Linked DNA regions of Drosophila melanogaster. The protein of the gene in region 2 purifies or fractionates together with the protein of the main gene of each other region. This does not show direct contact. Each region holds a gene or a part of one and is shown on either strand. Other genes may lie near its edges.

Region 1 (3,180 bases), 8.4 Mb from region 2:
TCGGCAATTAGGCATGATAGCCAGGCTATCGACTCGGCCTGAAAAGCTTTTTATCTACTGATAACGAATTTCACAGTCACAATGATAAGACCCAAAGACCCGCGAACCCCACAAGTTAAGGTTGCGTGCCATGGGAGTAGGAAAATCCAATTGTTAGAAATTAAACTTGGAGCTTATATTAAAGTATCACCTTATAGTCCTATAAATATATTTTTGAAGACTCCCCACTCAGCCTTTTTTAAATCAAACACCAAACATATTAATGTAACGTGACAAACTTCTGTATGTGGAAAATTACCTAACGAGCTGTAAACTTTTGATTTGTTCAGCGTTGAAAGAATTCAAAGTATGTTTTGTTTTCTTAAATAGGTCATTAAATGCGGAATTCAGTTTATACATAGGGAATGGAAAATCGAAATTGTTATGGAATTTATTAATGGGAAAATAGGGCTGAAAATTTAAATTTCCTAGATCGAGTAGCTGGTAAATATATTTACCCAAAAAAGGAAGCTTAATTAACACCCCCTATAAGAACACACATGTGTGCGCCTCTGTTCCGCTGGCTTTCACCTTCGTTGTCACGCGATTATCGTAAACTAGCGTGAGCTCAGTGCCCGACCCACTGAACCAGCCGTCGACCCTGGAGCCTCCAGCTCATTGATCTTTGTATACAATTTAATAAAACTAGTTATACCGCGACCAAGCAGCCCAGAACAGACGACGTATACCCCCCTATCCTTTAATCCGGTATCCGGGAGTTCCGCCTTGAGGAACCAGGTCGGCAGGCGGCGGCGTTATCCGTACACCTGGCATCCTGGTTATCTCTGGCCTCCTGGATCACGTCGTCGAGGGTCAACTGGATACGACTGTCCGGCCTCGGGTCCGGCCGCCTTTGGTTACACTTGAGCATGACTTTGAGGCGCGGGATCTTGGAGAGGTGGTCATAGAACCGCACTATATGCAAGGACCCAGAAGGCCTCGGTTCAGAGGCAGCACACACGGGCTGATCCCGGCAGTTGCACAAGAAACTGATGGCCTTCCGGCTGGAACTAACATCGAACTCGGCGCTGACCAGGTAGCAGGGCTCCAGGGAGAGCACTATACGCATCACTAGAGGAAGAGAGTCCGGGAGGAAGAGTAGGCCGAGCAACTGTCTCACTGGCACTGATCTTACCCGAAGAGGTCTCCAGGATCTGTGACCGGTTCTGAATCCAAACTGACCGTAAGCTCGGCTGATTGGAACGTGGGCTGCGGAGCGAGCTGTCCAGGTATTCCCGTATGGTCATCGCATGATTGGAGTGACGCAGTCCCAGGAGCTGTTGCCGTGAGTTGCCGGGCAAGGCGGCCAGAGGCAGGTTGTCGTAGACGGAGACATAGATCTTGTGGCTGATATAGACCACCACGAAGCACAGGATGACGATGAGCAGTCCGATAAGCAGGTAAGTGAACAGTGTCGGTATAAAGAAGATGGCGTCCAGAAACATGGGGTCGCTGATCCGGAAGTGCTAACTCACTGACAGAATACGCAAATCTACAGAGAGGGTTACGGGAATCCATGGGAGGATCTTCGAATCTCTTGGTTTTTGCAACATCTATGTAAATGTATTTATTTCGTAGTTTCTGTATTTTTTTATTGTTTATTTTTTGTTGTTTGTTTGTTGTCAATTTTTTTATGGATTTCTGCCTTGTTTTTTACATACGATTTTACATTGATAATATTATGCTTGTAATTTAATTGTATTCCACTCGATCTCCTTGCCTCCACTGCCTGCACGTCGGCTTAAAGTTGATTTTTCCGTGACCTCAAAACGATTTTGCCTTTTATTTTCGTTTCTGACCCGCCGGCGGGTTCCATCTACGCCCAAATGGGCGTGGCCTGCACACGGCGCAGACCCCTTACAAATGTTCTACATAGGCTCAACCTTTAGCATTTTGCATTTTGCTCATTTTCTAACAGTGTCTCATAGCTGAAATATTAGCACAGATATTTTCGATTTAAGCTTCTGGTCTGTAAAAATGTCAAAATTTTAGCTTTATCTCAGTATGTGTGCATTTCAAAATCGCATTTTCCAGTTATGACTTCATGTTTGAGAGGAGGTGGATGAGTGTGTGCGCGTGTGATGTAGCAACAGCTGTAGATAATGTTTCATGATCTATCGAGCAGATATAAGCTTTATAAATATATACACACAAATGTTCTTGTTGGCTGCGTTTTTTTCTGAGTGTTGTAAATGCAACTTCTCGTTTGGGCAATATTCATTAGTTCACACAGATACACACGCACACTCACCCAACACACAGGCAAACCCATGCTATCCGATATAAATTGTTGCAGTTATCTTCTCGTTAGCTGGCAGTTTTGGGAAATGCCTAGTACATTAGTTTTGAAACTTTAGAGGTATTCCAAGAAATGTGTATAATCAATCAATTTTAATTTTAAATTTTCAACTATCATAACGTGATTAAAAAGTATTGTATGGCTTTTTTTTAAAGCCCAAAACTCCAAAATTACAGTCTTACAATATAAGAAAATAAAACAACTTTCTAAACTTGACATATGTACATTTTTGAAGAACGGAAATACCTCTTTGATAACAGTTAAACTAGGCATTCGCTGTGCTCAAGCTTAAATTAGTTAATAAAAAATCATAAAACTATGTTAAGATTACAAAACACCTTTCGATGAAGAAACAAGAAACATGTTAAAAAATCATGAAGTTTTCACTGATTTTAATGTTTAATTGAAAAGTTTACGCTCGCTGACTTCACGTGGTACGCGTTTACTTGTAAGAATAATTTACTAAAATTAAAATTAAAATGGTTAATTAATTGCTGCCGTTGTGCTTTTGTTCTAGACAAAAAACAACGAATCATACAAGCAAAATACCATTGTTTCATTCAAGTCCTATCATTTCCATGACTTCATGCCTCGTATGAGAGTGTGTGAGTTGGTGTGTCTGTGTTTTGTGCCTGTGTGTGTAGCCTTTTATGATTTAAGTTATTACACATATATTCATCTTGTTTATTTCTTTTTTTAAAAACATTCAGATGTCTGTTGGATATTTAATGAAACGTTTTTGAGGAGGCAGCATGTCCCATAGATTATACAAATGGGCTCTCTTTTTCGAAAGACCCGGAGAATTTAAAAGAAGTTGAGAGAAGTATATAGATGTATCCGGG
Region 2 (4,817 bases):
CAGCACTGAGATATTTTTCATTCCATTGTTTTCTGGGATAATTTAAAGTAACAGAATTATCTTCTTACAACATTTTTTTGTCTTAACTTGACAGTAAGAGTTCTTAATTAAAGTCTGAAATTTTTAAAAATATTTTTTACGATTTTTTTTTACTAGTTTACTCAAGATCTATAGCAATATTTAAAGAGTTGAATCAATGGTCTCTATGGAATAGTGTTATATATGGTATATACATATTTCGTAACCATTTGATCCCAATTTTGGCCAGTGTAATCCCCGCGAGTAGCGTGCGCCCTCGCCCCATCAAGTGGCACTTCAACAATCAAGCATTCACACAAGCAGATGGTCCGCAGCCGTTGGCGACCACCTAAATGAAATTTCATTTAGTTTTTTTTCGCCCGTCATCGCCGCCGCAATCGCAACCCGCTCCTCGAGATCTCCCCATCCATCGCAGTCCATCCAATCCATCCGTCCAGCGCAGAGTTCCAGCCCCAATCCCAATCCCAATTCCAATCCCAATACGGTCTCCTATTTGCTTATGCACACATTATCAACGTACGCCCGCCTTATGGAGTGTTTGTTTACCTAATTCGATTACCGATCGCGTCCGTTCGCGCCATAGTCCACCGGCCACTTGACCATTTGGGTGGCACGGATCCGTACTCATGGGGTCCGCTCTTCGGCCAGACGTCGTGCGTAATCGCCCCACGGCAGCTGATGCAGTGCAGCGGAATTGGGAGATGGAGATGGAGATTATGTTGCTGCTGGAGCCGGGGGCCTTAATTGAAGAACCTGCCACGGGGGTACATACATACATACTTTCATCGCTTTGCAGTCGCGGAGGTAAATTAAGTCTTAATATCCTAAGTCGAGTGTCTAAAGATTAGGAAAATAAACACTCAAGGACTTTATCGATTCGTAAAGAAAAATCAAAAGTAAACTGCAATTACATTTCAATAATAAACAACCCTATATCAAAGAGTCTTCTTTAAATTACTGCTTGTCAATTTCTTAAAATTAATAAATAAATCTATTCAATCATGTTCTAATTGATAAAAGTAAAGTGTGCCTATTCTCATAAAATTTGTATAAACATTCAGGGAGTTATTTAAATAAGGTATATTTACGTATTTATACGTATACAGTTATTGAATGTTATTTTTTTTTTTAAATGCCTCGCCAGGAGCTGTTAAACATATATATTATATTATCTAGATGTTGCACATGGTATTTGAAACACTTTTTAAATAAATCTTGGACAAACATGTAAAATTTAGTAGTTATTCTTAGTAAAAAAAAAGGGTAATGTTGTTTTATTAATTACACTTTTTAAAATTTCGAATATATTTTTAAATTTAACAGTTTTCTAGAGATGGCAAGCTTTTTTAAATAAACTTCGTTAAATATCGATAAGAATTTACCTCATAATCCATACTTTTAAAATATAACCTTCGGTCACACCAATTCATAGAGCTGGTGCGTATCGATAGTCGGCACATTCAAAATAAATAAATTCCCAAACACCATTTAATTAAGGTCAATGGACTTGATTGTGGCGTTATTTTTAAAATCCGAAAATAAATAGCAATTGAATTCAAATTTGAATAGCTTAGCACTATCGCTCACTATCGAAATTTAGCCTCGATAGCAAGTATTCGATTACAGCTACTATCGTGGGGGGTGTACCCAGCTCTAAAAATTTGTCATTTCGGAACGAATATAGTTAACATTAAATTTACGAAGTAAACAGAAACCCCAGAGCCACGATGCGCACAGTGCTGTTGAGCAAACACGACGAGCTGTACCTGGAGAAATGCGCACAGGAGAACCAGTTCTCGTACGGGATAATCGTGGGCCATGTAAGTGCCATCCGCCACGTAGATTTTGTTTGGTTCCCCCGCTCAACTGAATCTCCACTTTCTCCTGGTTTCATCCGCTTCGGTTGAAATAGCAAGCGGATCTCACCAAGAGCGTGGTGGTCCACCTGGCCAGGAACAACGAGGAGGATGCGGATCTGGAGGACCTGTCGGAGGTCCGGCTCACCATCTCGGACATCAACTCACAGGCATTGGCCTCCCAGTGGCTGAGCGCCAGCAAAATGTGTCCCGGATCTTTTGACGTCATCGGTGGGTTTGCGTGCTGCCCCTGCAGTTTTATCTGCCCTACCCAGAAATAATCATAGTCATAATGCTAAGGCATATTATTTATGGGGACCTTGTATTCCTCCCGTGGATTCGAAATTTAGCCAAACCCTTTTTTTTTGTATGTTTTGTATATGGGCTAACCCACCCAATTTGACTGTTTAATCTGTCAATTCGAAACTTTTGATCTTTCGTCATAGATAAATCTTTAAGCTATCAGTAATGGGTAGTGAAACCAGTAATGTAAACTTAGGTACTTAACTAAGATGAAAGTAAGCGAAGCTTTAGGACTTACCATCTAGAATTAATTATTAATGAATTATTTATCTTTGCAGGAATCTTTGTGTCTTCAGTAAGATCCGATGTAGTAAACGAACAGAGCGCCGAATTTAAGAATGCCAAAAAGCTGTTTTCAGATATTTACGAGTAAGTCACTAACTATATGAGTATGATATGAGTCTCCATTTGAAATGACCTCTTTTCTTACTTTTCCAGTTTGCTCCTGAAAAGCAACAGCTCGTTTGGCGTCTACACCACCGACATTGCACAGACTGATTTCGTATTCCTCTCGTATTCGCTGGCCGACAAGAAAGTGCTCTGCAAGAACTACAGCTATGGCAAGTGAGTATCGGAAACGTAATCCCTGATCACAGATACGGGTCTCAATGTGTATTCTTTCTTTCACCAAACGAATCGCTTACAATTTATAACTAGACATTGCAAAAAAACGTATTTTACGGCAAACATAAAATGCATCATATGGTAACTAAAAAGTTGAGAACTATGTACTTTCATAACTTATGTTCTATGTTCAATAATCACTTTCTTTGCTATCCTTGTCCTTGTGTTTCTTATTTCTTGGAATGCATTTTATGTGTTAGTTAACCATTAGGATTGTTCATGTTTATATGGTAGTTTGATTACATTCAGACTTTTCCTAGCCTAAATATAATATGAGTATTTCTTTTGATAGCGGCGGCACTTTCACCAATATGGAGTTCCGGTTTGTGGACAAACCCTTCGAGTGGATTCAGCTGGAGTGCAGCTACGATTTCGATGATGTGCTGCCCATACTGGACTCCTCGCGTCGCGTCAACATCGAAGACCAGTTCCAGAGTATGATAGTGTCGGTGCGCAAGAACCTGCTCGCCAGTGAAGTATTCCTCCAAAACGAAGTTGTCGAGGACACCATCGATCTGCAGGCCTATATCAAAAAGAAAAAGACGAAAGTGGACAAGCTGCAACCGACATCGACAACAGGTGGCACGGCCACTGCCTCGAGCAACACCACTGACTCCCTGCCGCGGCTTGCGTCCGAAGGAATCATCGGAGGCACTGAAACCATCCGGGCGAGCATCGTGCTCCCCATGAAATGCCAGCTGAGCAAACCGACGGACATCAAGGTGCGCGAATTTAGTGGCACGCTGCACATGAGCGGCATTATTACCTCAAAGGTATTCTGCAATCCTCGAAACAGTATAGCAGATGTTAAGCGTTTCCTACGCGACGATGTGCTCCGTTCGCTGATAACGCGTATACAAGTGTACTGCGATGGACTCACCGATCCATATGTGACCAATGAAGCTCTGTACATTAGTGAGCCGCCGAGACGTGTGTTCTTCAGCCTGCCTTCAGAGGGTCCCAGTGCGTCGGTCGGAGCAGTAGTTCAGTTTTCCGAGTACTTATTCCGTGGCGAGGCACCAACTGTTGTGGTGGCCCAGGCTAAACAGATTCTGGACGTGGATCTAGATCCAGAGACCATATCCGTGGAGGCAGAGGGACTCCCGGATGATACGCACTTCAACAATTGCAAGATGGACGCTGATTGCATAGACGATTCTGGGATTATGACCAGTTCGATGCCAAAGCCGGAACTTTCGCGCAGCCTTTACATGGTGGGAATCGCAGTGGCCCTGCTGGTCCTCCTGTCCTCCGTGGCACTTCACTTTGTCCTAGCCGAGCGGTAGGCAGCTGGGATGCTGGGATGACCGAACCAATAAACCAATTTATATGAAATGTTTTTATACAGATACATTAATTGCATGTGTGCCCACGCACTCACCTCTCTATTGTGATCGTTTGTTTTTATAATTCATTGTGTACTCGTAGTAGTAAAAAAAAAAAGAATGTGTATAGGGATCACGTTAAATAGTTTTATTGTGGAAGCAAAACTGTGCAGCATTTAACACCAATATAATAAACTAATAAGTAATATACATATCTGCGATTCTTTGGTACGCCTATAGGGGAATTTCTCCTTATCTATTTCCATTTAAGAGGATCTAAGTGTTAATTGTAGTGTATTTTAGTGGTCAAGCTACAGCAATTTAACTTTTTACAGTTCATATGGCTTTTTATTTATAATTTATTAATTATTTTACAACCTTAAATCTCAGATTCCTGTTTTAACTTATGCCTACCGTAATTATATTAACCTTAAAGAAGAAATTAATAATTTCATTAGTAATTGTTTAGCATAAAACATTAAGAGTTCAGTTATGTACATTAGGCAAGTTAGAATTGTAACTATATTAAGTGGTAAGTAATAGTACTTTCAATTAGTACGTGCCTTTAGACTTTAATTACACAATTATTTGGTTGTCTAAATTAGAATCGAATTTGTTCCTTTGCAACTTCTAGTTCAAAATGAGCACATAATAATTGTGTTGTGGTGAT
Region 3 (4,381 bases), 3.1 Mb from region 2:
AGGCAGGATTTGCACGAACCAAGTCAGCGGAACCTAGTTCTCCGCTGCTAAGGCGCGCCTTGTCTCCGGATCGCTTGCATCCCCGTAGCGCGGAGACAAAGATATCGCCACTATGCTGTTCGCCGCCTATCAAACAGCCGACCCACCAACGAGTGGTGACCACGACTTGGAGGTCGACGCCTGGCGGCAGTGCATCGGGAGCTGGAGGAGCAGTTTTGGGGGCTCCTTCAGTTCAACCCCTGCAGTTGGTGCCTGCCGCTTCTGAGGAATCTCAAAGACAAACTGCTATGGCAACAGTGGTCTCCACAACCGCTGCCGGAACTGACCCAAGTGCCACCGCTGTGGTTACCCTGGCCAATTGTGAACCTTTACCGCGTATTGCCGAGGAGAAGGATTCGCCCACTAGTACCCAAGACAGCAGCAGTGTGTCCGAGGGATTTATGCCTGCTATCGAAGAGTTTGCGGAGGGGGAATCCTCATCTTCGCCCACTCAAACCCTGGAAAAGCCGACAAAGGTAAAGGCCACTGAGCAGCCAGAGATGGAGCCTGCTGGCAAAAGCAAGAAGGTCGACCAGGGTAATGGATTTAACGCCAAAGAAAAAAACAAATACTTAACATTTCTTTGCTTCCTCACTTTTAGGTAAAACCACAACTCCTGGAACGCCCAAAACTAAGCCCCACAACAGTGGCTGTAAAACTTCGATGACAACGACAAAGCCCGCCAGTCCAAGCGTGACCATCTCCACAGCACCACGCAAGGATACATCGGCTGTGACCGGTGGAGGATCCTCTGGATCAGGAGGATCTGCAGCCACTTCTGCTGCCAAGCAGAGGAAGTAGCGCCAGAGTAGCCGCGGTGGATATGGATGCTTGTGTTTTAAGTTTCGCGATTAAATAGTTATTCGTGATGAGAATGGGCGCGGATGGTGGGCAGGAAATGGAAGGCCGCAGGAATTCAATATATATCTGTAGAGCGGGGGGTTGCGTTTTAAACTTTTTTTCTCTAAGTAAGCTTCTGTTTTTGCGCAAATCATACAATTTAGCAATGAAATTAATTAGAAAATTCTAAAGCCTAGTAGTTTGTAGATGTCCTAACTAAAGGCAAACAAAACAAAACCGCTTGAAAACTCTTAATGTAAATTAGTAGGCACGAAAGCAAATCGAGAAGGAGCACGATATTCCAGTTGAAGCAAATATAAGAGGCACCACGCAATTATGTACTGTATATAAATGTGTAACATTGATAGAATTAACGAATTGTGGACTATGGATGATAGTCGATGGGAGAGTCATGGAGCCAGTGGCGCGGTGTTGGGCTGCGTTTATAACATTTTTGCGAATCTATACACTATGCCGAATTCAATATAAAATATATATTAAATAAATGTTATATGTGTGTGTACTTGAATGAACTTTTTAATTAGTTGTGCAGATGGAAAACTGTCGCAGCAAATACATATGTATATATATTGGAAATAATGGACTATTATATAAAACGTTGGCTCACATTTTAATAATTAAACCAATGAATCTCTAACCTAAAATCCTACCAAAATGTCAATGCATACATTTCTATCCAAACAATTTATTTGAATTCATTTTCAAACTTTCCAATAAATATACATATGTATGTCGATAGGAAAATACCATACAGACACTCAGTTATCGATAAAAAATTGCCAGCTGAGCAACATTTACTCGGGTGGGTGGCCGTGTTACTTTATTTTATTTTCATACATTTATCAGAAATATGCTACCCAAACTAAAAATATCCGCATTCCTGTTGAAGGTGAGACTATAAATCGTTTATTTAACCATATATCGTTTACGCGGTTTCACCAATTTTAGCGCCTGGAGCGAACAAAGCAGCAGTGCAGTGGATGCTTGTTTGGAGTTTTCTATGGAGAAGGTACCTTACTCCTACTGAGCTTCAACATTGAGTCCAGTTTGGGACAACTGAACTACGAGCAGATCCAACACAGATTCCCGGCGGAACTGGATTTATGCGGACTGGTCAAGTTTGGTGGTTGCACCGATGGAGAGGCGCACCTTAATGAGGTCATCAAATCTGTGGATATCACCGATAATCCCATCCTACTGCAATGCGAATTGGGCACCTTGGTGGGCTTGCGGGCCTCGTTTTTCGTCCATGGAAAACTGGAGGAGGTACCCTACGAGGTTATGGAGGCACATCAGCTGTACAACGACTTCTGCTTCACCCGGCTGCAGTGCGGATTCTTTCTGCAAACGGCCGCCACACCGGAATCCGTGGCCCGGGAAATGCATGTGCTGCGCAAAAGGGTAGCCGACGGAAATCTAGTGTTTAACGTTCCGCAGACAAAGATTTTCATTAATAACTACGGGCCACTGGACAAACAGTTTAGCGGCGATTCCCAAATTCAGGATCTTATAGACGTCATTCCAACTCCAGGACATGAAAAGGAGACTGCCAGTGTCGACAAAAAGAAGCTTAAAGGTCAGAACACGCCAGTCAAGAGACTGGCTCCGACTGGCTGCGACTACGAGGTGATCCCCATCGATGTGATGCGCTCGCGCAGTCGTGATCCCGTGTCCGGAGAGCCACCTCATCCGGCACTCAGCATTGCTGTGACCAATGAGGAACAGATCCGAGTCCAGGTACCATTAGAGATCGAAGCCATGGCCATTCTCTGCCGCAAAACGAAGCTCCAACGGCTATACGACGTACTCATCGAGAGCATCTGCAGAGGTCTCAGATTGTTCGAACTGAGCCTGATTGAGCATCTCACGGAGTCGGGAAGTGGAAAGCTGCTGGTGCCCGCTAGCTATCACTTCTACCCACAAGAGTTTGGTCACTTCGTGAGCTGCGCCTATCTGGAAGGTCTGAGTGACGATACACCAAGCATGCTAATGAGACGCAAGCGCCTGCATCGACAGTTTGCTTTGCCCATCAGTCGTCCTTATTTCCGCAGGGCCAACCAGATGCTTTTCCTAGGTGAAACGGAGGACGCACCATGGACTCCGCTGCTAAATACCCACATCGGATTACGTCCCAGTGGAGTTGTCGACGGCAAAGAGTACTTAGTAAATGGTAACTACCATTACTATCATTACCTGCAACAGCAGGTGCAGGACAAGGGATGGGGATGCGCATATCGCTCGCTGCAGACGATCTGCTCCTGGTTTGTGCTGCAGGGTTATACGAACGCACCGATTCCGACGCATCTGGAGGTGCAGGAATACCTTCACAAGATCAACGACAAACCTGCTGCATTCGTGGGTTCTTCTCAGTGGATTGGTTCCACAGAAATCAGCATGTGTCTGCAGGGATTCCTTAACGTGGACTCAAAAATTCTGCACGTAGCCTCTGGAGCTGAGCTGGCGACTATTGCCTCCGAGCTGGCGATGCATTTCCAAACGCAAGGTACACCGGTAATGATTGGTGGCGGTGTTCTGGCCCACACCATTATCGGGGTGGACTACTGCGTGCAGACGGGTCAGGTGAAGTTCCTCATCTTGGATCCCCATTATACAGGTGCCGATGATTTGGCCACCATTCAAATTAAAGGTTGGTGCGGCTGGAAGGGCATGGACTTTTGGGCCAAGGGCAGCTACTACAATCTCTGCATGCCCCAGCGTCCCATTTTGTATTAGGTTGAGCTAGTTTCTTTTCCACTCGCATTTAGGTAGGCGAGGATGTTTCGATATGCTTTCTTTAGGTATAACGTATAGGACATTCTAAATTTTCTATTTTATTGGGTAAATAAAATTATTTTGTATGCATTTGTTAGTTGTCTCTTCACTGTTTTTTACGTTTAGCAATATTACATGTCGACCCATCCTAAAGGACAATCTAGGAAAAGCTTTGGTGGTTTTCTGTTTTTATGTGTATGATACTTGTGTATTTTAATTTTATTCCACTTGTATGTTGAATGTCGATGATAAATGTGTAATCCCACACTCCCTTATTAAACCATATTTTAAAATTTTAGCTTGTAACAAAATGGGCACAGATGTTACTTCTAAAATAACTTCCCAATAATTGGTCGTAATACCGGGCTAAACACCACTCTTAGAGTACTTCTTCCAGTAACGCTTGACATCGTCGTGGCCATTCTTTTGCACCACCATTGTGCGAGTTCGCTCATTTTGCCACACCAGCATGTGGATCGACTGGGCGTAGTCTCGTAGCGTTACGAAATCTGTATGCGAGAGGAACTGATTGTACAGCACGCCTTCGGTGTAGGTGAAGCGATTTCGCTCTAATTCCCACAGCTTAATTTGATCAACGACTGTGGGTGGCAGGCAGGATTTAGAGTGAATGGCTGACTCGACCATGCGCATATTGGGATGCGCATACTGCTCCAGATACGAGACAATCTGCTCTGCCGTGATACCGCCA

What was found.
Region 1: the proteins of CG10616 (region 2) and CG3288 purify together in Drosophila melanogaster (affinity purification with mass spectrometry, with the first as the bait; one large-scale study listed by BioGRID). This does not show direct contact.
Region 3: the proteins of CG10616 (region 2) and Ufsp2 purify together in Drosophila melanogaster (affinity purification with mass spectrometry, with the first as the bait; one large-scale study listed by BioGRID). This does not show direct contact.

What each region holds. Positions count from the first base shown.
Region 1 is NT_037436.4:20,834,515-20,837,694, reverse strand, and holds CG3288 (uncharacterized protein), read right to left. Parts: upstream 1,514-3,180; 5' UTR 1,485-1,513; coding exon 1,175-1,484; exon of another isoform or gene 1,111-1,174; coding exon 740-1,110; 3' UTR 542-739; downstream 1-541.
Region 2 is NT_037436.4:12,470,071-12,474,887, forward strand, and holds CG10616 (uncharacterized protein), read left to right. Parts: upstream 1-1,657; 5' UTR 1,658-1,766; coding exon 1,767-1,859; intron 1,860-1,951; coding exon 1,952-2,126; intron 2,127-2,476; coding exon 2,477-2,567; intron 2,568-2,636; coding exon 2,637-2,762; intron 2,763-2,855; coding exon 2,856-2,903; intron 2,904-3,114; coding exon 3,115-4,108; 3' UTR 4,109-4,209; downstream 4,210-4,817. UniProt on the Drosophila melanogaster protein: May play a role in the trafficking of a subset of G-protein coupled receptors.
Region 3 is NT_037436.4:15,574,914-15,579,294, forward strand, and holds Ufsp2 (UFM1 specific peptidase 2), read left to right. Parts: upstream 1-1,656; 5' UTR 1,657-1,750; coding exon 1,751-1,789; intron 1,790-1,848; coding exon 1,849-3,633; 3' UTR 3,634-3,761; downstream 3,762-4,381. Other genes in the region: dop (drop out), read left to right, coding at 1-576, 641-840; mrn (marionette), read right to left, coding at 4,039-4,381. UniProt on the Drosophila melanogaster protein: Thiol protease which recognizes and hydrolyzes the peptide bond at the C-terminal Gly of UFM1, a ubiquitin-like modifier protein bound to a number of target proteins. Does not hydrolyze SUMO1 or ISG15 ubiquitin-like proteins.